2 linked regions of the Tribolium castaneum genome follow. Each later gene encodes a partner of the first gene's protein in a complex. Links are inferred from orthologs where the notes say so. Each region holds a gene or a part of one and is shown on either strand. Other genes may lie near its edges. The genes, in order: TH1 and negative elongation factor A.

The links.
Region 2: the proteins of TH1 (region 1) and negative elongation factor A are in contact, whole or in part, in a crystal structure (PDB 5L3X), measured with the Homo sapiens proteins. The link is inferred for Tribolium castaneum from reciprocal best matches to the Homo sapiens genes NELFCD and NELFA. Residues at the interface, in XP_047296144.1 of Homo sapiens: Cys204, Gln205, Gln206, Leu207, Glu208, Phe210, Ser211, Leu214, Arg215, Leu218, Ala219, Ile221, Leu222, Asp223, Gly225, Glu226, Cys241, His242, Gly243, Glu244, His245, Thr246, Tyr247, Leu248, Phe249, Ala252, Met253, Ser255, Val256, Leu257; in NP_005654.4 of Homo sapiens: Leu23, Trp24, Ala25, Leu54, Leu58, Leu61, His62, Arg65, Pro88, Trp89, Met92, Val93, Ile96, Leu97, Phe100, Gly104, Ser105, Leu106, Leu108, Leu110, Asn116, Val117, Asp119, Ile120, Leu121, Glu123, Leu124, Arg125, Lys127, Val128.

What each region holds. Positions count from the first base shown.
Region 1 is NC_087394.1:30,824,150-30,839,547, reverse strand, and holds TH1 (negative elongation factor D), read left to right. Parts: upstream 1-7,102; 5' UTR 7,103-7,214; coding exon 7,215-7,271; intron 7,272-7,319; coding exon 7,320-7,760; intron 7,761-7,810; coding exon 7,811-7,960; intron 7,961-8,016; coding exon 8,017-8,147; intron 8,148-8,193; coding exon 8,194-8,381; intron 8,382-8,427; coding exon 8,428-8,680; intron 8,681-8,796; coding exon 8,797-9,007; intron 9,008-9,055; coding exon 9,056-9,196; intron 9,197-9,241; coding exon 9,242-9,371; intron 9,372-9,397; exon of another isoform or gene 9,398-9,418; coding exon 9,419-9,453; 3' UTR 9,454-9,511; downstream 9,512-15,398. Other genes in the region: Urm1 (ubiquitin-related modifier 1), read right to left, coding at 5,583-5,651, 5,701-5,749, 6,358-6,439, 6,644-6,714, 6,767-6,789; nop5 (nucleolar protein 58), read right to left, coding at 9,512-11,060, 11,113-11,189, 11,246-11,290; transcriptional protein SWT1, read left to right, coding at 11,769-12,239, 12,296-12,443, 12,492-12,647, 12,816-12,919, 12,969-13,356, 13,404-13,543; Syx7 (syntaxin-7), read left to right, coding at 14,014-14,116, 14,163-14,232, 14,282-14,529, 14,585-14,715, 14,765-15,013. UniProt on the Homo sapiens protein: Essential component of the NELF complex, a complex that negatively regulates the elongation of transcription by RNA polymerase II.
Region 2 is NC_087395.1:19,621,610-19,636,963, forward strand, and holds negative elongation factor A, read left to right. Parts: upstream 1-6,440; 5' UTR 6,441-6,484; coding exon 6,485-6,694; intron 6,695-6,826; coding exon 6,827-7,081; intron 7,082-7,132; coding exon 7,133-7,310; intron 7,311-7,360; coding exon 7,361-7,705; intron 7,706-7,753; coding exon 7,754-8,073; intron 8,074-8,135; coding exon 8,136-8,462; 3' UTR 8,463-8,670; downstream 8,671-15,354. Other genes in the region: intermembrane lipid transfer protein VPS13B, read left to right, coding at 2,035-2,326, 2,375-2,610, 2,657-3,841, 5,568-5,754, 5,806-6,374. UniProt on the Homo sapiens protein: Essential component of the NELF complex, a complex that negatively regulates the elongation of transcription by RNA polymerase II.

The sequences.
Region 1 (15,398 bases):
CTGATTACTGATTAGTGATTGTGGGAAACACAATGTCGAACCAACCAAAATAAAATAAATCAAACGAGTAGACTAGTTTATTTTATTTTATTTTGAACGAACCAACTTAGAGATGGTAATATTTAAATATTACGTTCAATTAGATTTAATTAAATTTGAAGAAAGTAAGAAAAATTTAATCAGAGTTATTTGCTCTTGGAGGATTAATTGGAAATCGACACCACTCAGACATCACAGAGTATCCTCTAACTCCTTTGTCTGCGATTGTACGAACATAAATCAATCTGAGTTATTTAAATCCTATTTCCAACCAACGTTAAAATCATTTAATGGTAAAAGTTGTAATGAACTTACTTGTTGCAGTGATTAGTTAATAACAGACAATCAAAAGTTGCATGATTGCTACGATGATTGCTTTATAAAACTGTTTTAAACGCATATTTACTATGAACTGATTCAGTTTAACCCAAGCACCTATTTTACATTAAACTGCATTTTTGTTGTTAGTTTTTTCGTCTGTTTACAAACAAACACTGAATTTTCCAGTTAAAATAGTAATAGTGATACACATAGATGGGATCATATTTTATGACAATCATATTAAATACACTTTAGAGGATTTTAGAATGGCCGGTAATGCGATCGTAAATTAATGTATAAAATTATTCATAAAAGTATTTAATTCTGAAAAATATTTTATGCATGTCGTAAAATTTTATGGCACATGTGAAAATAACAAAGTTGTTCTTACATTGTGTCGGAGAAAAAAACAGTAAGACCAAGTCCTGGTTTAGAATCGTTGATATTTTCTGAAAGTTTAGCGGAAATTATCTAGCACTAAACCGTACTTGTTTAATCCAGTAATTCTATTGTTTTAGAGTAAGCACTTGCCTGCGGCGAGAGCAGATAATAAAAAACTTCGTTTCAGTTTTTGTCCAAATGGGGCGAAATAGTGTGAAAGCTAATTGAATTGAATCGACGAAAAGGAAACGAGCAATTACTTAGGTTAGCTAATTACTGTCTTCCAGCTGAAAAGTGTATTTACTCAGAGTTCTGTTACTTTGAGAACTTTTTGCACTCTGCGCAATGTTAGGTAAATAAAACGTGCAATGCAATTTGAAAGTCCAATTCCAACACCATTTTTAACGAGAATTAAAGGCTAATTAAAATATGGACATTCATTTTTATTTAACTTTAATTTTTATCTTCTGAGCTGGTGAATATTTAAAATTATCTGTAATTAAAAAGTGGGTTTTTAGTATAATTGCTTTTAAATTTATTCGCGCATCTACAGCAGCCCATAAAGCTATTAACAGAATTAGCATTCGTCGAAGCTGAGTAGACTTGAAGTTCGTCTTAACTGAAATATATTAACTTTAACACCGCTGTAAACCCGAATAAATACAAGATTAATAACTTTTTTAATCAGTTAATAGGTGTTGTCTGAATAAAACCGGCCAATAAAATTTTAAAACAAGTTTCTTGATCATCTTCGTTAGAACCGAGCATAAAACAAGTTTAATATTCGAAGCCCAGCTACCTGGCTCTCAGCTCGCAAAGTTTTTGTTTCCGCCGGATGTACTCGTTAATTTTCAAGCGCACTCATTGTGCGTGTTCATTAAAAATTAGTGTATTATTCAAAGTTCAACTCATTGAACTTATCAAACCTTAAATAATTAAACACCTGTTTTTGCCTCAATCTTTATCATAAATAAATCTCTCCCAACACAAGAATAAACTACTACGAGATAACTTAATTATCAAACACGCGTACGGAATTTGATACGAACTAATTTTAAGGTCTTCCAAATCGAAAGCCTAAACCCCATTCACATTCCTTCTTTGTCCTCATCGCTTCTTCAGAATTCGAAAGCCAAATTAAACGATGAACCAATTACTTCTCTACAAACTTGCTGCTTTATTTTCTAAATGCATTAATTGAAAACATTCTCTGCAAATTATTAGGATGAAATGACAGATTTGCAGATAACTATGAAATTTCTTGTTTGTAATCCATTTAGAGATTGGAGCGGGTTTTATGCAGCAACTTCCAACATTCCTGTATTTAACAATTTAATTATTTATCATAATTATAGTGCCTGTTTGTAACTTTGCAGTAATTTGAAAACTTATGATACACCAAAGTTTCCACTATCCACGGTTTATGTCGCATTCCTAAGGCATTAAACTTTACAAATTTCTATATTATATTACGTCGTAAATTTTTTCCGCACACATTACGTGATTTCCCACATAATTACACAGACACATAAGCAGCTTTTAGGTCTCCATCAGACAATTTCTGAATTTATACAAAAATATGTACCAGACTTATTCAACAAAACAGTTCCTTTAGAAAGTTTCATCACTAAAATTCAGTAATACGAGTAAAAAATCAATAGCAATTTTTTATTTGAAATAATTAGTCTGCGTTTAGGAAATACTTCAATAAATAATTCAGTACTAGACATTCGTTTCGCAAACCTGAATTTGACTGGCACAAATCTTGAAATTATCAAAGCGTTACGAAGACACTTTGCACCATAAAAAATTAATAGAGGCATTTAGAGGGAAATCTCTTAGATTTTCTAGGGGAACATTTATCAAATGCTAATGTAACACTTTTGCGGGGTCGGTAAAAAATGCTAAGAACACCTTAACGGAAGCAGAAGATATATTTCGTCAACGTCTCGGGAGATGAAGGAAATAAATTTTTATAATTCGTGCTGACAAACGTTCAATAACTAGACGCTGTAAAAACTAACGTGAGTTTAGTCTGAAATCCTAACGAAGGAATAATAGCTTGTCTTAGCTGTCGTCCGCAATATGCCAGTGTCTGTCCTTTATTCCCGAAGCTTAGTCCCGATCTTTTCTCCGGCGACGATTGCACTTAGAATAACGATGCAGATAGACAATGTGTGGTCGCAGATTCGTAATAAACGGTTGACAACCATTATACAAGATGCTGTAATATCTTGTACAACTTTGTGAAGTTTCTTTTCTAGCGAGCCGAGTTCCATTATTAGTTTTGAAGGACGTGCACAGGACGGCATAGCATCCCGATATGTGGAGAAAGAAACCGAGACTCAACTGCTTCAGACAACGCGGATATTGTTTCATCTAAAAGTTCGCTCGTCTAATCCATAAGCGATTTCGACTGTCTAACTTGATAACTAATATTCAATGACTGCCCTCGAACTTGTTGAGAAAAGTTTTTACGGTCCCAAAGTCATTCAATAAAACCCTGATTATGTGTTTCTGACACCCAGCGCGATCGCCACACTTGAACTTGCCGAATTAACGAAAGCTCGACACCAACAACCACCAACAACTCATACACTTTAATAAATTGTTATTTTCGCCTTATTCCAATTAAATTTTAGCACAAATAGTTTAGACTAGTTTACAAAAATTGGTGTTAAATAGAATACTCTAACCATAACATTTAAATAAAACTTTGTTCAAGGTGTGAATTATGGTGGATGCGCCGGGCAAATATTTACCGAATTTAATTATTAAAATTCTTGCAGCAATTGCTCAAAGGATCTGATTGTTGAAATGATATTACAACATAAAAAAATTCTAAAGTAAATGTTTATTAATTTTGATACAGCATAATATTGGTTAAAGTATTAAAATTAATGAACGAAAGACTATACTTGTGTGGCTTTTGTGAATAGAGTGTGAACACGGGCGACAAAATAGGCATCTGAACGTGCTGGGGCAGTCATTGCGTAGGTGTTGACTTTAAAACTCCCCGAAGGTACTCACAATTTCAAATAAAACTGTAATTGTATGGGCAAACGACTGGTCTCTGGATAACAGTCCCTCTTTTCCAAAATTAACCCATAATCCGAACCCCACGGAAACGTAACGTGCGAGCGATATAGCACGTAAATTTTTCTCATAAACACAGGCACATTTTTGAATTGCATAAATACGAATTTGGATGAACAGGTTTAAAATAAAAAAAGCGAATAAATTGTATTAAAAGTAGGTATAATAGCCGGTGTAAATATCGACTAAAGGAGATTACAGCGGTTAAAAATGAAACACATTCAAATGATTTTCGGATTAATGTCAGTTTTATTACACAGCCGAAAGCAGAAACGTACAAATGTCGGAAAGGTAGCATCGTAAATAGCGCGAAATCAGAATTTATTCCCAATTTCGTCAATATTTGTTTGAACTGGATTCAAAAAGTGTATGGTAAGACATTACATATGTCTCGACACACCTCAGTGCTGCAGTCAACCGGGTTGAGCATCATCTACGCACAGGATCTCCATATAAACGACATCATTATCCTGCGATGGTCCTGTCCGCCTTATCCTTTACAGCGGCAAAATCATAAAACTTAACCTTAATTTAGTATATTTCTTTTAGGAAATCGTTCCCTCCTACTTATGGAAATTTAATGACCAATTTCCCCAATTTTCTCAAATAATTGCCACTTCTTTCGCCATTAAATACAACGCTCCGTGTACTTATAACAATAATGATTTTATGCGTAAAGTTTCCATCATTATGATAATTAAACTCGAACTCAATTATAATGTATCGTTAGGGAAACAAAACGGGTTTTTCGCATAATTCTCGATGGCTCATCGACTTTATGCTAATTTATCCAGACGTTGCGGGAAGTTATGCAAAGATCAGATATTCGAAATGGTTGGGACGACAATAATCCATAAGTAAAATCTACGGTAGAATCGTGAACAATGAGATAGTAAAGATTTCTTATTTCTGCTGACACTGCACTTAGATATTCAGAAAGTACCACAAAGGTAATAATATTACGTGCTCTCGGCTCTTACAATATCTGATCAGAGCGATAAATTTTAAATAAAATCATTATTTCCGAATATTGCGCTCCGCCGGTGAATAGAAAGAGGGTTAACACCACACCAACAAACTATTGTGTGATGCACTGTGTATCTTGTTATGTGATCTCTAGCGATAATTTACATATAAGGGCCACACTGGGTGTAAACTATCTGACCACATCGATTTACGAGCCTATTTACACGACGCCGCTGCTCCGATAATATTATGGAGAACTGTTAATGCCCTCACCAAAACCGCGACATAGACAACTGCTACTTTATTGTCACTCAACCAGTGGTGAATGCGGAGCGCCCAAGTAAAAGTCTACATTTTAAGCGTTTCCAAAAAAAAATTTTTCTGTTTCTAGCACAGTGTAAGCACAATAATAGTGAAATGTAAAAAAAATAGTTTCTTATTTTTTCAGTAATATATGCCTTTTCTTTAGTTTCTGGAAACTTCCTCAAGATCTTGCTTTGTCAGATTGTCATAGCATAACCAGCGGACAATAATTAAAAAAAAACTGCCCGAATTTGGCAAAAAATGCAGGTCAATACATATAATAATCTATCAATAGAAGAAAAATTCTCATTTCCTTTTAACCATGTTTTGACAAAGATAGAATTAATCGACCCAACTATCGTAAGTAAAAAAAACAAGAGGAGTCATTGGCCAAGGTGTCATGACAGTAAAGAGTGGAAGCAGAAAAACACATCATAAACAAATCTTTTATTTAAAAAAAAACAGATACAATAAAATTAACCCCCGTGTAATGTGGAAATAAACAATATCCTATCATTTTCCCGAATGACATAGTTAACAGTGTCCTAAAATGTAAATAAAGATAAAAATTTGTATTCCCTAACTGCAATTTACCATCAATTCCCAATCTGCGTCATTGATTAAGACGAGTATTCCAGGTCGCCTACAAAAAATAATAAAAGAGTGAGCGCATTTTTAAGCGCCGGAACGTAACAAGCTATACAAGAGCAACTAATCAACGCGGCGTGAGTAAATAGATGCTGAATCAATTACCTATGCGGATCATATTGCTGCATACATGCATCGAAACAAGGATAGTATTATAAAAATAGAGCAGATTTTGTAATTTCGTGGAAAAAAGGGAAATATGAAACTCGGAACAAATTCATTTGTCAACGATAGCAAAAAATGAAATACTGTATTCATCACATGGAGGGCTCAGAAGCCAATCTGTGTATTTATTTCACTTTTCGTCAAGTAACTTTTGTGGGACAGGAATCACTCATTGTTAACTTTTACAGAAGCGAGTCCTTCAATAACGATTCTGATTTTCACCTTTTTTTATAAAGTAAATTTTAAGAATGCTTATTATCCCATTTTTTTGCTAATTTGAGTTATACTGACTGGTTTCTGAATCCTGCATGTAAATAATTAAGAAAATTAAAAAAACACGTATTATTTAATCTTACTGCTCATAATTCACCAAAGAATAAAATACATTTTATAATTTAGTCTGAATTTAGCTAAAATAAATTTAGTAGGTATACTTACACAGACTCATCTTGCAAAAACAGTTCTGGTCGCTCTTTCAATAAATTATCTTTAATCCAAATAAGTAAATCCTTAATTATCCCTGCAATATAAGTTAAGCATATTAAGCAGTTAGCATAATAGCAATAAAGTATAAAAGATATCCACAAATGTGTTTCATTTCTTTAAAATAAGCTAATCAAATCAGGTGTAGTAAAAATTGATAAAATGATAAATAAAAGACTATTTGCGATAAATGCTTTGATTAAAAGTCAGTAAAAAAGTGAATTATCCTTATTATCCTTACATTCCTTGTCTTTTTCAGGTAATGTTACATCGTGACTCTTTTTGTTATCAAAAAGCAATTCAGCACCACCCCTGAAATATTAAATTATACTACAGTTTTAGCAAAAAATTAAACAATTCTCACCCAAATTGCACCGTTATGTGCATTTCGGTTTATATTACTAAAAAAATAATTACAAAAAATTACAATTTGATTCTCATAACCTTTAATTTCATAACATGTCAAGTTCTGTCAACCATGTTAGCCAATCCAGTTTATAAAATTCCCAAACAATATTGTACTGTTTTATTAATTTATTATTTGGTGAATAAAGTCAACTAATTCAATTTTGGACCTTTGAATGTGTCCCGGATTTAATAAAATTGTACCATGAAATTCTAGTTACGGAAAATTTGGGAATTGCTTTATAATTTTCAAATCTTTGTGGGTCAAAGCCGCCAACGTACACTTCGCGAAATAACTACTAGTTGGTAGTAACGTCAAATTTCGAAGGTTATGTTATGTTTAAGGACGCGACTTTTTTATTGTTTTAATTTATATAACTGCCCCAGTTATATGTAATTAACTTGCAATGGATGAAGAATACGACGAGAGAAATTGGGATACCGTTGATCGACTCGATAATGACGTGAGCATTTATTGAAATCTTGAATCTTTCAACAACTCGTATTTTTAGTCAGATGCGGGCGATGAAACGGAAAACCCTGAGCAGGTCCTTAAGGAATGCGCGGAGAAATTTTCGACCTCAGACTACATAATGGAACCGGGAATTTTCTCCCAGCTGAAACGGTATTTCCAGTCTGGAGGAAACCCCTTGCAAGTGATTGAAGAATTATCACAGAACTACACCGCCGTAGCCCAGATGGCTAACTTGATAGCAGAATGGCTAATCACAGGTGGAGTCAATGTAACTTCGGTTCAAGCAATGGTGGAGAACCACTTAAAAGAGATGATTTTGAAAACATTTGATCCCAAAAAAGCTGACACGATTTTCACAGAAGAGGGTGAGACGCCAGCTTGGCTGACACAGCTAATTGAACATCCCACGTGGCGGTCACTGATTTATAGATTAGCTGAGGAGTATCCAGACTGCTTAATGTTAAATTTCACAATTAAGGTTCGTAAAAATTGCCTTAAGTGTAACATGAGTAAATGTGGTAATTGCAGCTTATTTCCGACGCCGGTTTCCAAGCTGAAATCACAAGCATTTCAACGGCAGCTCAACAGTTGGAAGTCTTCTCTAGAGTACTCAAAACTTCAATTGCTAGTTTTTTGACCAATCCAGAAGACTGGCAAAATACCAGCAAGGAGTGTGCAGTAAATTATGCAATTTAACACTTGAATTCACTAAGAAAAAAAATCTATTTTTCTAGAAAATGGTGTGCCACGGCCAGCACACATACGTTTACAGTCAAGTGATTATCCACGTGTTAGCTCGAGAATCCAAGGGTGGCAGTAGCATGAAGCGACTGTCTCAAGAAATCACGAAATGCGCCCAAAAAAAGTATAATTTTTTCTAGTAAACACAAAAATTATTTATCCATTTTCAGTGGCCATGACGTAACTCCAATCACAATGGCGTTAAACGGCGCCTCTGCATACCCTCTGGCCTGCCAGGCCTTGACATCAATGCTTTCAAAAAATACACTTAATCCAGCCGACATTACAGTTCTGTACAGAAATTACAACGCTCCAGACCCTCCTCCCATTGATTTAATCAGAACTCCGCAATTTCTGGGTTTGTTTTTTAACGATTCTGAATATATGGTAATTCACAATTTCAGAATTATTGATTGATGCCTTGTTTAAACCTGGAGTAAAACTCAACCCCGACCACAAGCCCAAATATATCCATTTGTTAGCTTATGCAGCAAGTGTCTATGAAATGCAAGCCAAAAAAGGGCAAAAAAGAGTGGTCAATAAAGATGAACTTCAAGCGACTATTCATTCAATTGAAACGGTCCACAATATTTGTAATACCAATAAAGGGAGTTCAGAGCTAATGGCAGAACTTGCAACGCTGTATCAGTGTCTCAGGTAAGTTTCTAAGATGATATTTTAATAAAAACTGAATAAATTTTGTAAATAAAATGTCGGTAAATCACCATTATCAAAAACATTGTCAACTAAGAAACTTATATTTATTTTTTTAGGTATCCAGTCGTTTCTGTTGGAATTATCCGTTGGGTTGAGTGCACTGTTACCGAAGCAAGTTACTTTAAATTGTCAACAGAACACACTCCAATTCATTTGGCGCTCTTGGATGAAGTAGTTACTTGTCACCCTCTTCTCCATAATCAAGTACTCGACTTACTAATCAGGTTGTTTGAATCCAAGCAAGACGAACTGGAAATTTTAGTCCAAGTAAGTTATCAATTTTTTTACGATATTTTTCAGTTTTTTTTTTGTTAGCTTGAAATGCGCAAAATGGTCCTTGACAGAATGGTAAATTTGCTATGTGCTGGATGTGTGGTACCCGTTGTAAAGTACATAAAACAGTGTTGGCAAAAAGGCGACACGGACATATCCCTGATTCGTTACTTTGTAACGGAAGTAAGTTACTTTGTTAAAAATGACCGGAAAATGCAATTTTTGTAGGTTTTGGAGACCATCGGGCCCCCTTATAGCTCCGAATTCGTCCACTTATTTATGCCAATGGTTGAAAATGACGAAATTACGGGAACAATGAGAGGAGATGGGGAGAACGACCCCGTGTCTGAATTTATCGGTGAGTGGGAAAACGTGGTAAATCAATTTCTTATTGTTTGTTTTTAGTCTATTGCAAAGCAAATTACACCGCTGTTGTATAACAGCACCTTAATAATAAGAATGTCTATTATTGTAAAAAATAAAAAACCTTCCGCTAAATTATTCATCTTCCTTGGAAATGCTCTTCTTCTTCTTTTTCTTTTTTCCACTTGTTGGCTCTTCAACAACTTCAGGCGGAGCTTCGCTCTCGGACTTCTTCTTCTTCTTTTTCTTCCCAGGCGTCACCTCAGGTTCTTCCTTAACTTCCGCTTCCACCTCTTCCTCCGCTTCCTCTTTCGCCTTCTTCTTCTTCTTTTTCTTCTTCTGGCCCTCACCACTGTCCTCATCCTCCTCCTTGATACTGTCATTGGTCTCATCCGTCTTGACCTTTTTCTTCTTCTGCTTGGGAGTCTCCTGAGTCGTGTTCAACTCCTCCTTCACTTGCTCCGACTCTGACCTCTTCCTCTTCGAAGTCGAAGGTAACGTCGAGTCGGCAGCAGCAGGATACTGCTGAACTTCCGAAACCCCTTGATATTTCTCAAACTTGGCCTTGGCTTTCGCCGTCCCGCTAATTCTCCTCAAATTCCCCTCTTCCAAAATTCTAAGACGTGCTTCCAACTTGGCTTTGTGCTCCGCCCCAAGCGTGAAATTCCCGTCTTCGCCTAGAGCATCGACTCGAGTTGCGAGGGCTGCTTTAGCCGCCAACATTCGAGACATTTTCCCCTTGTTTTTGGTGCTACTTTGCCCCACTAACTGGGCGTGGTAGATCAACCCGTACTTCGGGGTGTCTTTCTTGGTCTTGAGGGCTCGGAATAGCGCCTTCTCAGCCCCCAAAATCTGCACCGTGGAGGCCGGATGTTTGGCCAAGTTTATCAAAGACCCAGCGTGCGAAATCAAACGAGCGCCCACCAAATCCCCAACCAACGTTGTCAGGTTTGGGGCCATCGCCATCATACGGGCCTTCAAATAGTCGTACAACTGGGTGCGATAATTGGAAATTTCTACAACTTGGTCGCACAAGTTCTGAATGTTTAAAATATCGTCGTCGGATATCTCAGTACCCATTGATATTTCAGCTGCCTCCTTGACTTTCTCCTCAATTTCTTCGGGGAGAATGTCGGAGAGGTCAGAACTGGCGGTGTTATCACGCGTTCCGATGATTTTAACAGTTTTGACGAACGCAACGTTATCAGTGATTATTTTCCCAAGCTCGGGAAAGTGCCAACCGTACCATTCGCGGCACCTCATTATGTAGTTGTTGAGTTCTTTATCGAGGTCATCAAGCAACGAAACCGCTTGGACTATCATTGTATCAATTTTATCAGGCGAGAATTTTAACTTGTACCGTGATAAGGAATGAGCTAAACCTAACGCCATCGCGGTCATTTCCTTCTTAGGTAACCCCGTTATCAAACTGTCCAATTGCGACCGAATGCACCGCATCAGCTCCTGGACAGCTGTATTCGAAACGCATTGTAAATTGAACTTCTCTTTAATGGCAGACCCTAACTTGGCGTCGGCCACAAGCAGCTTGTCCTGCAATTCTTGGTCGATGTGCTTCTTCAGCACCTTCTTCAAGCTTTTCGAGACTTTGCCCTCGACGGCTGCAGTCGTGGCAGCCAGGGCTTCAGTGGTATCATTGAACTTCTCGAAATGTTTCAGCTTCACACTAAAACAATTTTACTAATAAGTTTGCATTTTGAAACTAGGACAGGTCGTACATTTTTCCTGCCGACTCGGGTGAATCAAATTCATGGTACAAATTGTTAACTTCTTTTAATTTGCTTTCATCCAGAAGCTGAAAGCATGGAAAATTTGAGGTTAAGTTTGTCAACAACTTTACTGCAGAATTACCTTAAACAGCGCGTAACCTGCCGCTGTCTCAAATAAGACCAACATTTTTCACTTTGTATTACAACAATTTATATGAAAACCCACCAATTTTTAATATTAACGATAAAAACCGGCAACAATTAGAAACCATGAGGTCTAGCGCGTCGGCGAGATTGTCGACTCGCACGAATTCCCCAAGAATTACCAACTCTTGGTTCTTTCCCCCACGTGCCTTTCCAATGTAAATCTAAATAAAGCAGATTTAAGATTATTTGACACCAGTTTACAAAAACCCAAGTTCTTTTTAGTATGTGTGGGAGTTGTAATTAGTAACTGGCGTTAACTGGTTACTTGTAAAAAAGTTTCAGTTTCACCTACATTCGGTTAAGTCGATCTTAACAACAGGTCGAATTCGGGTGCATTGTACATATCACGTGATCAAGTTAAGATGGCGTTTTGTTGTTGTTGTCAGCTGATTTGCGAGAAAACAGAAAATTGTTATTTGAAAATGAATTAAAAGAAGTTTTTTTTGCTAAAAATTAAAATGTCAGACAAACGAAAAGTCCTCGTAGCCAAACGAAAAAATGAGAGGAATCCTAAAATTTTTCCGGAAAAAATTGTTCAAGAGGATAGTCATTTAAAACATGGAACGAAACGTACCATTAGTGTTACGCCGAAAAAGAACATAGCTAATGAAAGGTTAAAGAGGCTTAGGACTAGCTTAAATGAAGAAGTTTCAAAATCTGCTCAATCTGTACCAAAATTTAAAGACAAGAATTGTGTGCGGAAACGACCAACTGATTCAGTGCAACATGAAGTGTCTACAAAACTGTTTATTAAGGAAAGTGCCTCGAGTTCAGGGGAATGTTCGAACAGTGAACCTGGAACTCCTTTCATTTTTAAAGAAGAGTTTCTAACACAAACGAATGTGTTTACCACTGAATCTCCAAATCCATTTGCTGTTGGCTTTCAACAGACAGCAGTTGTTTCAGAAGAGGATATGGAATGGTGTCCTGTATACTCTCTTGATTTAATTATTCAGTTTAATATTCTAGTTAATTGTCTTTTTAGACTGATATTGAGGAGTCCAAAAGCACAAGTGATAATACTTTAAATTCACAAATTACGAGTTCTTGTCAGTTTTATATTGTGGTTGACACGAATATATTCTTATCAGAGCTGAATATAATTGCTAACATTGTTACATTAGCTGTTAAAGGTAAAGAAATGTGTAACAATGGATAAATATTTATCACACTTGTTATAGGACCCAGGGAGCCAGTCATTTTCATTCCCTGGATTGTTACAGAAGAGTTAGACTTTATAAAGGGCGATTCAAACAAACGTAGCCTCAGACAGAAAGCTCAAGATGCCATCAAGTTAATAGAAAAAACTATGAGTAGTAAACATAATAGAATGAAAGGTATACTGAAACAATGTTTCACGTAGAAGTGTTTGCATTTTTTTATTATGACCATTGAACTTTATTTTTATTCTTTAACATGAGTCGCTCTAGTAAACAAAAAATTCACGGTACTTTTTTCATTGGATAAGGAAGCAGTGACAAAAGTAATAGCAATTATTTTTTCAGGGCAGACACTAATGGAAGCTAATGAACAGGAAAGTGTAGGTGCAAATCAAGATAACAAAATAATTGCTTGCTGTATGCAAGTTTTAGAAAAATATGAAAATATGGTAACACAATAATCCACATCGAATTATTTTGGGTGACTTAATTTTTTAGGTTCTCCTCACAAATGACATTAATTTAAAAAACAAAGCCCATTTCAATAAAATTCCCGTATGCTCATCTAAAGAAATAATGTTTAAAATACAAAAAATGCAGAATAATATTCCGCTTTCTCAAGAAATAATGCCAAAAACGCAGAATAAATCAGCGACTATTTTAAATATCATGACATGTTTATGTAATACTGTAATTCGTGAATGCGCTAAAAATGCCTATGGAGAAGCCTGTAACAGAATGCCAATATGTCAGCCATCATCAAAGACTTTAACTGAATGCATCGCTACATTTACAAAATACTGGTTTCCTGTGTTTCAAGAAGTAGTAATGAAACAGTGTAAGAATGCCATAGAAGATCTTTCAGCCTTTCTATCACAGCACACAAGTAGGCTATATTTTACCAAATTCCTATTAATGATTTTAATTTTTTAGCTATAAATGATACCTCAAAAGAATTAAATGACCTCATAAGACTTTGTCTAAGAGTTTGTCTATTTTTGAAGGACGTCGAGTGCTGTAAAATTATGACCGAGAATACGATACGGGATTTAAACAGTCTTAAAAATTCTTAGCGTTTTCTGCAAAATCTTTCTTTAAAATTATATAAAAATTTGTTTAACTATTATCTCCACGGTGTAATCCGTTCAGGAATAAACTATTGTATTATGTTTGTTAAAAAAATGTTTTATTTGAAATTCTACCAATTTTATGTTAATAAAAAAATTGATCGTTACTTTTTGAGGATACCTCGTATAGCTTTGGAAATTTATTTCCGTAATGTTTACATTCTTGTCTGTCAATGAGATTTTAATTTTTTGACATCTGTCAAATAATAAAAGCAGTGACTCACAATCTCAAGTGTTATTGATTAAAAGTGCAAATAAAATAACAATTATTACTTTCCGATTAACAATACGATATTTTATTTGATGTTTTAGGTAAGACATGGAACGTTTTATGCTTTCTTTGCCTTAGTCCAAGCAAACAAATCATAATGATAAAAGTGTTTGATTTTACAGAAGAGATTAATAAACAATAAAATATGGATAGTTTTTCGTACCAAAACGGGGGGCAGAACAGAGAGCAGGATTTCCAAAAGTTGGCTCAAACCATTGGCACTAGCATACAGAAAATATCGCAAAATGGTAACTTTTTCCTTCATTTGATCACTGTATTAAGTGGCTTTTACAGTTTCGTCAATGCAACGCATGGTAAACCAGATAGGCACTCACCAAGACTCACCTGATTTGAGAAAACAGCTGTACGTACTAAAACATTATTCATTGATTTTTTTACTGAAGTTTTTGCAGCCATTCCATTCAGCACTACACCCAACAGCTTGTAAAGGACACCAATGGTTACATTAAGGACCTTAACGCCATATCCCCGTCCCAATCCCAGTCTGAGCAACGGCAGCGTAAAATGCAAAGAGAACGTCTTCAGGATGAGTTTACTTCAACCCTGAACATGTTCCAAGCTGCTCAGAGAAGCACAGCGCAGAAGGAAAAAGAACAAGTCAATAAAGCCAAAGCCCAAGCTTATGGCGAACCATTCCTCAGTAAGTTCATTATTGAAGGAAGCAGTGGCTTATTCTATCACACATTAAACTTTAGGTAGCTATAAAAAAGACGAACAATTGATCGAGTTACAAGACAGTAGTGCGGCAAAAGAGCAGGTGCAACTTCAAGAAGAATCAGAGTTACGAGCCCTCCAAGAGCAGGAACAGTCCATTAGACAGTTAGAAGTATGTGCTTTTATCTCAAAAAAATAGATAACTGTACAATTTGTTCTAGAGTGATATTAACGATGTCAATCAAATTTTCAAAGAGTTGGGTGCTCTTGTCCACGAACAAGGCGAAGTTATCGACAGCATTGAAGCAAATGTGGAGAGAACTAGCGATTTTGTGAGAGAAGGTGCCCAGCAGTTACACCAGGCTAGCACTTACAAAAATAAAATTAGGAGAAAGAAGATGATTCTTGGTATTATTGGTGCTGTTATCTTAACTATCATTATTATAATTATTATTTGGAAAACTAGTTAATTGCAAATGGTATTGGATCTATCACGAAATGTATATTATATGTATATCTAAATGTACTAAATCCAGCTGTACGAAGTCTATTTTTGCTGTACATTTTTACCACAGTTTAAATTCAGTGCCAAGGTCATTCTATTTAAACTGTTACGATATTAACTCATTTATTTATTATTTAGATTGTAACGATTTTACTTTATTGTTGCAGAAACTTTCAAGCTATTTTATAATCTCCAAATTTTTATCATGTTTTTAATTAAATTTTTGATCAGTGGCCCCTTAGTATAGCCAACTTATCTGAAACTTACAAGCCGCTTTGATCATAAATTTAATTTAATGCGTTATATTTTACAAACTTTAGGCATTTTTGTACATTTATTGTTTGTTTTTA
Region 2 (15,354 bases), on another chromosome or scaffold:
CAACCGTATTCGTTTGTTGCTTTTGTCTGTAAGATAAAAACTTAACTAAAAAGTTAATTTCGAAGGAAAAAGGCTCAAAACAATTTTTTGTCTTAGAAATTTTTAACTCAGGTAAATGTCTGCTATTTAGTAGCCAAGAGATGGTCCACGACTTTTGGATCAGCTTGTAACATTAATTTTTGCTTACAAAAAGGATATTTTCTTTGTTGGTAAAACATAATAATAGGCTTAAAAAAAGCAATTTAGAGATATAGAGGAAAGTGAGACAATACAATGATAGTTAAAGTTAGTAGTTATAGTTAAATGCTCGTTGAATTTATAGAAAACTAAATGTATTAAAGCTATTCGTATACATTTAATTCCAAAGTAAACATTAGGTACTAAAACCCAGTTTGATTCGGGCCAAGTGAATTCAGTAGTATCTTCGACAAAGTGATGCAAAATGTTTACCTTATTTTATTATTCATTAATCTTTTTAATGATGGGATACTTATTTATGGTTATTTTTGCAAATTTTAACCCAAATTTTCTCATTAACCAATGTAAAAAATTTTATCTGGTTTTTATCGTAGATCATATTTGTTTATTATAACTTTAATAAGTCGAGTTCAAAGAAATTTGAATTTATTCCTCTACGTCTATGTCTCAAAAACTAACAACATTCGGACTAGACTTCTTTTGACTTCTTCATGTTACTATAAAACTTTTAAAACGACATTGTTTGCATAAACACTCTAAATTTTCTGCCGTCTGGGCTGTTTTCCAGTTAAAATAGCTTTTGTTTAAACGCAAATTGCTTTTTTTGCGAACATATCTCAGTTTTTTTAACAGCCTACCTAATTATATAAAAACTTTTTGGTCAGAATTATCTTGGGTATTTTTCAGTAAAGTATTCTATAGGCGGAAACTTCAATATTTTCCAATAGTAACACATAATCAGTAGTTTTTTTTGAGAGACGGTTTACAGAATTTTGAACTAAAATAAAATTTTAATTTAGAATTAAAGCTTCAATACGCTGTATAATAATATTTAATAATTAAAGCAGGGTGTAACTTTTTTTAACTTTAATGGAAACGTTGATTATCACAATTAATTAAGCTCAAGAGTCAAATAATAAAGTTTCGAACGGTAATATTCAATTAGAATACATTATTTCCCACAATTTTCTCTAGTTTATCAATCACAAAGAAGAAAAACCGACTACTCTAATTTCAAATTTAAATGATCGCATGGCATTAAAACATAAACAATAGATCAGTTGCTTTTTATTGGTAATTAAAGTTACATATTTGATAAAACAACGTAAGATTTTAAACTGGACAAATTAATGCAAAATAAAGATTAAACGCCAAGTAAATTCAATAAGAAGAAAAATGATTTAGGCAACCATTAAAGGTAGTGTGGCAAAAAATTTAATATTTAATAATTATTAATAAATAATTCCTATATTAATATTAATTATTAATAATAATTAATCAATAATTATTTATTTAATATATATATGATGAAATAAACAAAGTTTAAAAAAAAACCCGACACACCAAACCTTTATTTAAAAACACTACGCGTTTCAAAACCACAAAGTGGTCATCCTCAGGTGAGAATATAAACTCAGTTTATATTTTTTATATTTGTTTTTTTTTTAAACTTTGTTTATTTAACCGAAGAAGAATTTGCAAGTGTTAGAGATGAAGATTGGGTGAAACGAATTGCTCAATATTTTAATATTTGAAATATGTCAATAGAAAATGAAAAAAGCTTTTTAATAAAAGATTTTAAAATTGGACCAACTGATGTTTTTTTGGGCCCTTAACGGACCTCGAAAAAAATGCATAAATGTCACGTCGCCGTCGGTGAAGAAAATATAATTTTTAAATGTCGTGTTGGGGCTTCTTGTATTTACTTTATTATATTTCGTAATTGTCACACTTTTCTTGTTAAGCAGATTATTATCTGTATACAATTTTTATTTTTATCATTCCATCACATTTATGAAACGAAATAATCCCTAAAATAATGAATTTTTGACACAGATCCCTCTCGTGTTGACTTCTCAAGAACGCAAAGGCCAGATTTACCTTTCATTATTCCACGACGATTCCCCTCAGACCCTCATCGAAAATAAAAGTTCCGTAAATTTGTATTGCGGCCAAGCGATCGGCGAAGGCGGAGCCGCAATACCAGAATCGAGACATTTCAAATGGTTCTCAAAACTCGAGTGTGGCTCCAGCGTCTACTACACAATGCCTTTCGTTTCGGAAAAATTCCCCGAATTACCCCAGACCTGCTTCAGCGAGAAAATAGTATTCGCAATAGGACCCAAAAGTAACGACACATTTTTATTGAAAATTGAAACTAAAAAAATTTTTTAAGCCGAAAGCGATCATTTCGAGTGGTCAAGTGCCGTCAGCATAGTCAACGATTCGGAACAATTCGTCAAAATACCGAACTTTGGCGACGTCAAATTGGTGGTTAAAGTCACGTCTTACACCACCTTGTTGTCCATTGAGTCGGTAAGTGGAGTCGAAATCAACGCGATTGACATCAGGGGGCGCTTGTCGCGGCATGAAATGGAGACAGTGCTCGGAAAATATGATAATCGGCACAAAGTACGGTCTTTTTGAATCGCTTCATTTATAAATAGCAATTTTCCAGGATATTGTCGCTGATAATAATTTCCAAAATGCGGCAAAAATTCTCCCAAAATTATCGCTCTACCAGTCATTGTTCAAACCAACCTTGCAGAATAACTGGGATTCGATCGAAGTTTTCGCATTCGTTAAATCCTTCAGTCTTGTGTTTCTCGCAGATCATGGCAATGATTCGGAAAAAGAAGGAGTTGCGAGTTTTAGTTTTGACGATGTGGGCGTTGAGCTTCGTCAAAGTGACGATTTGAAAGTTTCACTTTCTGTATTAGACATCCAGTTCGATAATGAGTTATATTCGAAGGAATCGTTCGATTTTCCTGTGGTCGTAGTAAGCCAGGACCAAAAACCGAAAAGTGGTGCCAACGTTTTGGAAAAAAATGCGAAAGAACTGATCAGGAACACCGACAGTGTGTTGATTTTGGATATGGTGGTGGAGACTTGGTTTGATGATTTGCGCAAGAAAAACGTGACTGGAGTGAAAGAAGTGAAGGTGAAATTAAATTCGCTTTCGATCTACGTCGAGGATTTGTACATCAATAAACTGATGGAATATTTCACCCAATTGTTTCCGATGCGACTGGCCGTGGGCGCAAAACCAGAGTCCCGCACAACGTCCAAAAGCGTCTCAGTTAGAGTCCCCGAGTTGGTTTTTTGGAACTCTTTAGTAATCGCCAAACCGTTGAGTCTCAAAACCATCACAGTGGAGCCCTTGTCGCTGCTTTTATCCGTCCATTGCTCCCTCAAAATGTACATAGCCCTGGACCAGTCCCCTCTCCAGTTTGCCCGGTTTGAAAGACGCCGCCTGTTGACAACCCCCTATCGATTGGGGCATGCAATGACCATGCACTACCTCTCGGGGGCCATTTTTGGGGCTGGTTGGGTCGTCAGTTCGCTCGAACTGCTTGGGAGTCCCAGTGGACTTGCGCGAGCGATGGGTATAGGGCTTCGCGACTTTATCAATTTGCCTTATCGGGGGCTTATACAGGGCCCTTGGGCTTTTCTAACTGGTGTGACTCATGGCTCGGCCTCTCTTATGAAACACGTGACAGCTGGGACGCTGCAATCTGTGACGAAGTTGGCGTCGAGTGTTGCAAGGAATTTGGATAGATTGACTCTGGATGAGGAGCATTTGAGACGGACGGAGGAACAGAGGAGGCAGAAACCACAAGGGGTGACGCAAGGATTTATGCAGGTATTTTCTTTAGTTAGTCTTCAGGGGAGGCCCAAATTTTTGGCATTAAATAAATGAGTATGGAATCCTGATGCAAAAAGCGTTACAATGGTGAAAAAATTTTATTACCGAAATATATGTTATTGTACACTACTAAACATTTAAATTTGAAATAATACCAAGATTATAATTAAGTTCGGTATAACATACTGCCTCCTAGTGCCTTCATGTAGCATTCGACATAGGTGATTAATAAAATTGTTATGTTCAATAATGAATTAAATGCAAAATAAGTGAAAATGAAGCTATTTTTTTCTTTACGAGGATACATAAATTAATAATTTGAAAAAAAATATATTAAAAAAAAACAGAAATTTTACAAGGTTTTGATTTTGTCACTATTTTTTAATGTTTTAATTTCTTTCAAATTAACGGGTTTATCTCCGTAAAGAAAAATTGTTTCCATTTTTTATTTTGCATTTAAGTGATTTTTTATCATACCCGAGATCGTAACTTTTTTTCCTTACCTCTGTCGAAAGTCAATTTAAGGAAGTACCATTGTACCAGGACTATTAGGAACTTAGTCAAAATAATTAATTGGTATTAGTACTACTTCAAATTTAAATGTTTAGCAGTGTAAAATTACGCAATATCTTGGTAATAAAAATTTTTATTAGAATTTTTTTTCAGTATTCGTTATTATATATACTGTTCTATAAAAGTAAAGGATATCTAATCTAATCACACATCAGTAAATATGCATCTGCCTTTTTTATATCTTCATTCTTTTTATTAGGTTTCAATGCTCGAAAAGTATTGTTTAGTATTTGTTTGTTTTTAAAATAATTAGACTTCTTTAACTGTGGTGGAACAAATGTGTACACTATCATTCCCTAAGTTATCTATGCGTATAAGTTAAGAACCTGTATTGAGATAAATATTATTTACAGTCTTCTAGAAGCTTAATTTTCTCGATTTTTTCGTAATATTTACTTTTTATTTTCTTATTTGTTTATTGTGAGCCTGTAACTATTTATTTCAAGAATTTTTTCGAAATGGTCAAAAAATTACGTTCTTTTAACTAATTCGTAAATAATAGTAGGTATACCAGTACGAAAAGTTGAACAGTGCTAGTCTACATACAGTGCTGGGCAAAAGTATGGATAAAACAAGCGTTTTTGCATGAATACAAAAAATAATTTGTATTATTAAGACTGTTAAAAATGTGATCATTTGTGAAGAATATTTTTTTTATAAATTCCTTTTAATTTTACCGATACCGTTTATGAGTTATGCAAAATTTAATTGTTTTAAATGGAAGTCTACTGCGACCATTTTTTGGTTAAAGATTACTAATTCAATAGTATTGTTTAAACAAGTTATTATTTTAATAAATTATTAAAGTTGCGTTCTGAGCTCATCATCAGTACATCACTCATTCATCAGTCTTTACCGAAGAGGTTGTTTTATTTATTCTCACCTTGTTGGGTGCACAAATAGTGGATATTACCATTCCATTGTAATAGACTAATGGAATACAGTTTAAAATAGATCAAAGAATGTCTTGTTACAGAAAGCTTTTTAGAAATTTTAAATTTCATTTCAAAATTTTATATTTTTTACCATTTTGCACAGGTTTTAAATAAGTAATTATGTAATTACTTAATAAGTTATCAATTCTTATTTGATGTATGTGACTAACTGATTACTGAGCTGGTTACAACCTATTACAAAAAAATTCTGTTAGGGCTTGACGGGACTCGGTATCAGTCTTTTGGGGGCTGTTGGAGGCATCGCCCACCACCCGCTTCAGAGCATAATGGCCGATGGGGCATCACCCAGGTCACTCGCAGCGGGTGTCGGATTAGGGCTAGTGGGAGTCTTAACTAAGCCTTTGAGTGGAGCTGCCGAACTGGTGGCGTTGACTGGTCAAGGTATAATAATCGTAAATTTACAAAACTGACTTAAAAAAATTAAAATTGTAGGATTATTGCAAGGGGCCGGGTGGAATCCCCTACCGCAACCTAGGAGTGACCTGGTCAAAAACCTGAATCTGTTAGATTCAAATTCAATGTTAAAATACGAATGGAAGTTACTAAGCTCGCTGACTTATAAAAATGTGCTTTTTGCGACTGAAGCAACGATGTTTAACGATTCTGAGTTCAAAGGAATTGGGTTGGTTTTGGCACCCGATGCTTTGATTATTGTGAATCTTGATGATGATAATGTGAAACGGATAATTAGTTTGGGGCAAATTCAAGTCGTTGCGAGTGATAACGACCCGACTTATCTATCCTTCAGGATTATGAAACAAAAGTGTGAGGAGGAGTGTGTGGTCGAAATGGACCCAGCGTCGAGGGCTCGAGTCGCCGATTATGTAAGAAGTACGGCAAGTTTGTTACAACTACCCGAAGTTAATCAACATTCCGTAATCATGGACGATACCAACGAACAGATTAATTGTTATGTGAATCCGCAAAATCGGAATTATTTCGTTTGCCTGCTAACACTAGCCAAACAAATGAACAGCAATTATAATTTTCCTGTGTTATAAACTGTTAATAAAAGTATGAAACTAAATGAGTGTTTAAATTTCCCGCTGTATTGTTGTAGTGCTTTGAGTGCTAGTCAGCTGGTTGTTGGCAGCACCGTTCCAAACGCAAAATGGCGAATGTGCGTGACAGCGATACGTCTTTATGGTTACACAATAAACTCGGAATTTCGAACGATTCCTGGACGGGGGGCTCAATATGCTCGCAATTGAACGCCGAAGTGTTACGCAACATCAAAGACTGTTTTCCCGATCTTCAAACCCAAGTGAAATTAAAGCTTTTGTTGAGTTTTTTTCACATCCCGCGCAGGAACCTCGAAGAAGTATGTTTACAAATAAAAGCCCCCACGGTTTCCACTTGTCGTTATTAACCCCTTGGTTGCGCCCCTTTTAACTTTGTCGTCTAATAAAGTTGTTTGAGGTTATGGCGTACTCACTTGCTACTTTGTTTTTAGTGGAAGTTAGAGCTGGAGCAAATCCTCGATGTGGCCGTCGCCGATTCGGAATTGTGGGTCGCGATGTTAGCTGAGGCTTTAAAAACGTACCCTTCAACGGGGTCCCTAAACACAGAAATTTCCGACTTGGACGAAGTGAGACCCATTTTCACCGATTTAGTTACAGATCTTCGGAAACTGGTTCGCAAACAAGCTGAGAATGTTATGCTACCCATGGAGTGCCACTATTTAAACAAATCAGCCCTTGTCTCTGTCGTAAGTCTCTGACATGTGTCACTTGTCACAATCACAACTTTTTTTTGTCAGGTTGGCCATAAACCAGAGCCTACTAAACACTTCACCATCAAAAAGAAACAAAAATCGGCAATTTTACGAGCAGATTTATTACAAAAATCTTCAGATGCGGCCTCAAATCTCAAAAAATCATCAGCTCCGGTCATTCCAGTGCGCTCGAGAGGCATGCCGCGCAAAATGACCGATACAAGTATGCATGATCGTTGTTTATTTGACAGTTGGTAGCATTATTTCTTGTAGCACCCCTGAAAGGAATCCCGAGTAGAGTCCCGACATCGGGCTTCCGCTCCGGTGCATTAAACAACAATATAAACAATCGGCCCCCATTGGCCCGCCCTCCAGCCGGACGCAAAGAAGGCGGAGTCAAACTCTTGGACATAGCCGATCAACCACTTGGCTACGCTGCGGCTAAAAAACGAAAGAAGATGCAAGAAATTGAAGACGCGAAGAAAAACACCGAAAATGCTGCCTTGCAAAGCCCCCCACCTGTTTCAGGCACGACCACCACTCCCGATTATGCAGCCGGTTTAAGCTCCACCCCAGCCTACGCGCCGCCCACGCCACAGCCCATCCTCGCACCAACCAGTAATTATTCGAATTTGAAGTTTGTTGTTCCTATTAATTTTTTTCCAGCAGCGTCTTCCATTTTAACAACTGCGGTAACAGCACCGGTAACTACGGTTACGACAGCGCAGGTGGCAACGCCGACCGTGAAACTGGCAACAGTGGCGGCGACACAGTTGCCAACTATGCGGCCTGTACCACCCCTATTGGCAACAACGCCAAGTGGGCAGAGGACGATTTTGACCGACCAATCGGTGAAGGCTGTCGGCCAAGTGTCAAATATTGCGATTGCGCAGAGGACGACTCAGGCCACGCCCACTGTGACGCATATCAGGATCCAGCCACAGACGACGTCGAATGCTTTGCAGAGGCGGGGCTTAGCATTAACGGTGGGTTTTTGATTACGAGTATATGTTAAAAAATTCTATTTTTTGTTTTTTTTTTTCACCAGAGGGAGCAAATGTTGGAAGCTCAGGATATGTTCCGAACTGCGAACAAAGTGACAAGGCCCGAGAAGGCGTTGATTTTGGGTTTTATGGCAGGGTCAAGGGATAATCCCTGTCCTCATTTGGGGAATATTGTCACTATTAAGTTGTCAGAGGATCAGGAAAATGTGTTGCAACCTGACGATACTTACCTGACTATGGTCGCAGAGACTCATTTCCAGATGAATTATAATAATGGAGAGTGGAAGAGAATCAAAAAGTACAAACATATTGATAATGTTGTTAATCAGATGCCACAAAATACACCAGCTCCTGCTGTTATTGGGAATTAAGAAAATTTTTTTGTTATTTATTTAACATAGGAATTGTTTTTTATTATGCTTCGTAAGAAAGAAATATTTATTTACGATTTTTAAAGTTTAAAAAAATCGAATGTAACGTTATGTTAGGTAAACAGTTTGATAAACTGAACGTTAAGTTTGTTGTACATATTTTGTAAATATTCTAATTTGTAAATAACTGAATAAAAAGCTACGCGCATGTTTACTTTTTTTTAATCGTTTGGAAAACGAACGAAATACAATGAAACCAACCCAAATCCCAAAATTTTGTAACATAAAAAAACTACAGGGTGATTCAAGTGTGTCGAGTCATCTCATGGATAAACGGCATCCAAAGTTCGTATGACAAAAACTTGTTTAATTTTTTTCTTTAGTAATCACACCATAGTCATCGTTTGCTATTAAATACTTTATTTTTCTCTTTATGTGATTTTTTGAAAATTTTTCTACAATTCCTTACAATTAAAATTAATTAATACTGTGTTGCTAAAAAAAAATTGGACATTCTGAAACATCCGCTTGAGTGTTTTGTGCAAGAATTGCGCAAAAGAAAAAAGCGCACAAGATAATGCTCACACAGAAAAAAGCTCACGGAAAAAACTCACATAGAAATAATCGCACTTAAAAGATACCTCATATGGAAACAACTCCAGACAGAAAAACAGTCCACACAGAATAACACCCACAAAGAAAAAAACTCACAAGAAAAAAGCTCACGCTAAAATTAACTCACTGGAAAAGAAATCTCTGTACCTAATCGTGGATAGATTTATAAATTTATAATTATTCGGATAACAATAAAAATATTTTATAATTTGAGAATCAGTTTTTGTTACTATTCAAGGAAAAAGTAAATTAACATATTCAAAAGTGTAACTATTCAATTTTTTTTTAGACAAAGAAACTTAATTTTATGTTGTAATTTTTTTGTTTTACTTATAAATTAAATTTTTTTTTAAATTGATTTCAGCTTTTCGGCGTATAGCTTAAACGGTACCTAAACCTATACTGAGTGATCTCTCCGCATTTGTCATTTTTTGCCATAATTTGTTGAAATCTTATTCACGCAAATTATAAATACCTATCAACAAATTATCCCGTAAGTTAGGGAATGATTTAGCAAAAATTTGAAGTTGAATGGGAAATAGGAAAACGCATCGTAAAGTAAAGTACATCAGAGTTTTTTCAAAAAATTGTTTTGGACCTAAATTTTAAGAACCGCTGAACCAGAATGATAAAAATTAGCTTGTTATTTCGCTAAAAAGGCCTTAAATTAAAAAAAAATTCGATAAAGGTACCTCGAGAGCGTTAAATGATAAAACGTTTACAACTGCATCACCCCGCAAATATTACAATCGACTCATTTGAAACGGTTTAGTTTTTTTTTTTTTCAAAATAACTAAGTTTTCGAGAAAATTGCTGCGATATTCGAATTGCTATACCCGGCTATAGCAAACACAAATACTTTTCTAACAATGATCATTTTAACAGAATTTAGATAATTGATGCAATCTCTATACGAAAGCGGAAACAAAAAAAAATGTTCATAACAATAACTGATAAAATTATCCCTCTTCTTTACGATTTCTGCAGGTCTTGGAGTGTTGAAAACCGCAACCTATATTATCAAAAGTGCACAAAAAGATGCCATAAAATGATTTTTTTAATCAGTTATGGAAGTGGAATAGGACAAACAAATAGTTTATTTACGAATAGGAACTAGTGGGCTTTCAAAAGAACGTGAGTTTTTATCCGTGTGGGCTTTTTTTGGTGTAGGTTTCCTTTCATGTGGGGTTTTTTCTTTGTGGGAATTATTCTGTATGAGCTTTTTTCGTGTGGGCTTTTTTCCATATGAGGTTTTTTCGACGTGGACTTTTTTCTTTGTGGGCATTTTTCTGTGTGAATTTTTTTCTTTGCGGGTTTTTATGTTTGTGGGCTTTTTTGGGAGCTTTTTTCTTGTGCGCATTTTTCGTGTGGGCTTTTTTCTGGTCAGCGGCGAAGGAGTATAGAATTGGAAAATTAGTTAATAATTATTATAATTGTTACAAATTTTGTGTGTAACGAAAAAAATTAATTTTACGATGTAATAAAACTCATCAAGTACCTACAACAACTTTATAACATTTTGTAAAATTCTTATTTGTTATTTTCACTATTTTTTTCCTTTCTCGTGTGTAAACGAGACGGTCAGTGTTTAATAATTAGTTTGTATTCATAGCAACAATCTTTATTGTTGTTTAAAATTGTTTAAATTGTCCGTTTCTATCACAACGAAAATAGCTCGGTACTTTTATTTTTGTACACAATTAAATTAAAAATAAAAATTAATTATGGAGCTCTGCTAGCTGTTAACTGTTAAAATTATCACACATATTTCTGATACACCTGTAAACTTGTAGCTCGTCCAGTTGTTTCAAATTTTTAAAAACATTAAAAAAAATCGCTTTCGGTAAAACCAGGAAAAAAGACTTCATATTCCTGAAAAAAATCCAACTTTTAAACTAATAACAGCTATTCTTCCACTTCAAATCCACACAACACCACAAGAAACCTCCATTTTCTCATTTGAAGTTGCGTCACAAACCGTCGGTTGGTCTCCCATGGGGACACACAAGCATAATTACATTCCGTGTAAAACCTAAATTTTCCATTAAGATGGATTTTCCATTTTAGCGCCAATAAATTTGAAGGTTGTCGTAAGCCGTTTACTTATTTTTTCGGTAATTTATTAACGCGATAAAAATGTAAACAGTGTCGACTTTAATGTGCACGGGAACAAAACATAAATGGAATATGTGTCTCTGGGGACGGCATTGTTTGGTGTAGACGCAACAAACTGCATTCCCAGATAAAGCACACTCGTCCCGGAGAAAACTAAAAAATAAATGAAACGAGAGTAAAAAGTGTGAAATGGGGAACAAAAAGCAGCTCGATGACCCGTTTTGATATTTACGTAACAAATTATCCCGATGCTAAAAGCGAAATGATATTTCGGGCTGTTATGGCAAAAAATATTCGGGTTGTTCGGAGTTGGGAGTGTTTTTAGCGACAAAGTTTGAAATTGTGATATTCGTTTCAGCGGAAAAAATGATAATAGTTTTATTAGTTTTACTTTGGTACAAGTTCCTTAATTGTTTCTTAACTTTTCTTTAATAAAAACGAAATTTTCAACATCAATCGCAAGCACAAATTGTACAGGGTGTTCCGTCCCAACCCCACATTAGAAGTATTTGGAGTTCTAGTAATGACAGTCATCTGAAAATTTGTATTGTATACAACCATAATCTTTTGGGTTCTGTTCAATGTAAATACAACATGGCGACATTTCCGGTTATACCGGAAGTCGCTTTCAGCTTCCTTATTTTGAATGGAAAGCTATATTTTTAATGCGTTTTTGGATTACTAGAATTATTTTAAGATAGTTTACATAAGCATTTCCTATAATTTTGCCGTTTACGAAATATTTAGAGTTTTCAATTTTTTTTTCGGATTTGCACCTTTAAGTTCAAAAATCGATAACTCCGCCATTTTTTGAAGTTTTAAAATATTTTTCAACTCATTTGAAAGAGAAAGTCTAGATCTTTCTCTTGGTGCTTTCAAATTTCTAAAAAAGATAACAAACCCCAAATTTTTAGAGTTAAGCTTGTAGAACTTTAAGCACCCATAACTAACAAGTGTGGCCTATGTGTGGCAATTGTCACAAAAAACGTATGTCTGGTTAACATTACAAAACAATGACAGATGACAGCTGTCAGTACCGTCAGTGTCAGACCAAAGATGCGGCCAAAAATTCACACGTTCAATTGAGCTTGCAGAGTAAATTCTTGAACGTCTGCATCATGATTTGCAATGTGATTTTTATCAAAAACTTCTAAATGCAAAAATAAGACAACATTGAAACAGTTGACAGCAAACCATATGAACTTATCGCGCAACCTACGTTCATGCTAGAAAGAGAAAACCACAGCAAACCACGACCAAAACAATTATTGAACACTTGTTATTATTTTTTTAAAATAAAATGCCACAAGGAAACGACAGAAAAAATGTGAGAAATCAAAGTTTTTCAAGCCAACATTCAATGAATATTCATTTTGTTTTTCCTGTTTTTTAAATTTTGAATAGAATTTGTCGTTTGTCGTTGATTTAATCAGAAATGTTTTTTTTTGGCAAACTATGCAAAAATAGCTGTGGTTAGTAAGGAATTTCCTATACAGGGTGTTTCACACAACTTAACGAGTCCTGCGCTTAAGGCACGCTCCCTAATATACAAAAGTTACAAAACATTAGATGCAAAAAAAATACACATTTAATGATTTAATTTTTAGAAATGCATGACAGACTTGACAAACTAATGACAGTTAACTGGTAATAGTCATAAATTGCTGTTTTTTAGAAACAATTTTTATGTGTTCTAACTTAATCAAAATCACTAACTAAACACACAAACTAACTAAAAATGTTGCAATTTTTTGAAGGGGTGAACAAACTAGAAAAAACTATCCAATTTTTTAAAATTTTTAATCGAGTACGAGGCCTTGTAAAATTACTTGAAACACCTTGTACCATAATAAAAAAAACAACATAACATGAAAATTATAACAGACAGGAATAGGGAATGCTAATACAGATAGATACAGAAAACAATCCTCCAACTAATAAAATAAAAATTGGGCCCATTTGAAAAAATTAAGTTATGAGTACTTGAAGTTATCCAAACTGAATTTTAAAAGTTTTGGATGTATTTTTTTCCAATTTTGAACACACTAAAGAACAGATATGAGTTTTCTCTTTTAATTCTTTAAATATGATTTCGAAATCTTTAAAACTAGGAGCTACCGATTTTTTCAAAATTTTTCAAAAAATCCTAAATATCTCAAAAACGGTTAAACGGTTAAACTCCCTTAAAATAACTTAACTAATCCAAAAACGCAGTGAAAAACGAAGCTTTCCATTTAAAATGAGAACTTTCATTGAACAGAACTTATGACAGATTATGGCTGAGTACTAACTTTCAGATTAGAACCTTTAATACTTTCAATGTGAGGTTTAGATGGAACAACCTGTATATTCTCAAACCACAAGTGCAAAGGGGTCAAACTAGCTCAGACTCTTCCCACACGATTTTTAATTAATCCTCCCACACAGTCTGGTGATAAGCGCAAAACTAGAGTCGATTTCTCATCATTACAATCTCTTCCTTTTATCTGAACTTCTGGATTTAAAATACGGCGTCTTCAATCAAGCGGAAATAATTTATCGATCGTCACAATTCTATTAACTCAATAACACCCTCTAAAGTTTACAATTAAGCCACGTGTAATTTATTACAGGGGGTGTTTCGGTGATAAATCGCAAGGACTTAATTGCGAATTTTTGTAGGTGTATAAGGGGTACATTTCCGCTGAGAAGTCACATATTGCAGATTTCTCAGGTCTGCGGCTTGGCGAAATTTACAGATCCCAGATATGGTGTAGTCTAGACGCACCAAGTGTTTTCATAAAGTTTGGCTTTGCGCCCTTATTCGACGTAAATATCGCTACAAATTCCGGAATTTCGGAGTAAAAAATTAGTTTGTAAATCTAACGTTCGGAGTTTGAAGGGGAAAGTTTGATAGTATTCCGGCACCTCCGCCATAAAGTCCGTTCGATCGGAGCAGCATCCACCCACGTCAGAAATTATTTATTCGCAATTCCGTGGCTATGTTTATTTTTATTTTATACACAATTGCTCAAAATAAGGATGGTGTTTGTGTTCGCCCACACTGTTGGTCGATGTTCCTGTAATAAAAGCTAAATCTCCCGTTATTTCGTTTAAAAACACTGATGCTCCAGTGGCGAACAACGTCACGTAACCACTTTGCTCGTCTCAAATTTCAACTCGAACATCTCCTCCATCTGCAAATATGTATGTGTGGAAATAACAATCGTAATGCATGGGGTTGAAGCGAGAACGTTTTATGTTCTATTGTTGCACTAGGATTTGCCCTATTTCTATTTAAGTGCACTTCGGAATGGGGAAAATCCATGCGAGGGTTGTGGAGGATGCACACGTGGATAATTTTCCGAGATTTGGGGCATTAGATAAACGGGGTCTAAGCGGAAAAAGAAAATGAAACCAACTTTAAACTAATTGATATTTCTGCTTGCTGGAAAACCAGATTTCATCACAGATATACTGCGTGTTGGCGAAGTTGAGGCGTTCTTAAAAGTTTTAGTTTGTAATAGGCTCACTATTACAATGATAACAATCTTACAGATTTAATGCCGTTGTATGGGCAATGCTATCAGAATGCAGCTGAGGAATTCAGAGAGTACTTAGAGTAAAAAATAATAAAAAATAAAAGTAACATTATTAAAAATCTAGTATCCACAATAATGAAGTCGATTATTTTGAAACAGCAGTTAGGCAGGACCGGACTCAAAATTTTAAAAAACCTAAAAATTATCTCTGTTATTAAAAACATTTTATTAAGACGATTTAGGCTAAAACTCTTAAGAATAAGTAAAACAGAATCGATTTATTTTTATTTTTAACAAAATGGCAGTCAATTTACATTGTAACATTACTTTTATCTCCAGGGCCGTCTCTAGCCTTACAGCTGCCGGGTTGCAAAGTTCTGAGTGCCGCCCCTGTCATTTTTTTTTACAAAAATTACAGCTTCTTATTTTCAGTTTTCTATATCAGTACTGTATTCATTCAAAAAAGACATTTTAGCACAGATATTACTACTAACTTCTTGGAGATTCAGCTAGAGGATTTTTGTATATTTAAAAAAAAAATTAATAAAATAATGTATCCCCTAATTTATAACATATTATTTTAGAGAGTAAAAAAGTATTTGCTAAACTTTTTGTATCATTTATCCAAATCTAAATTAAAA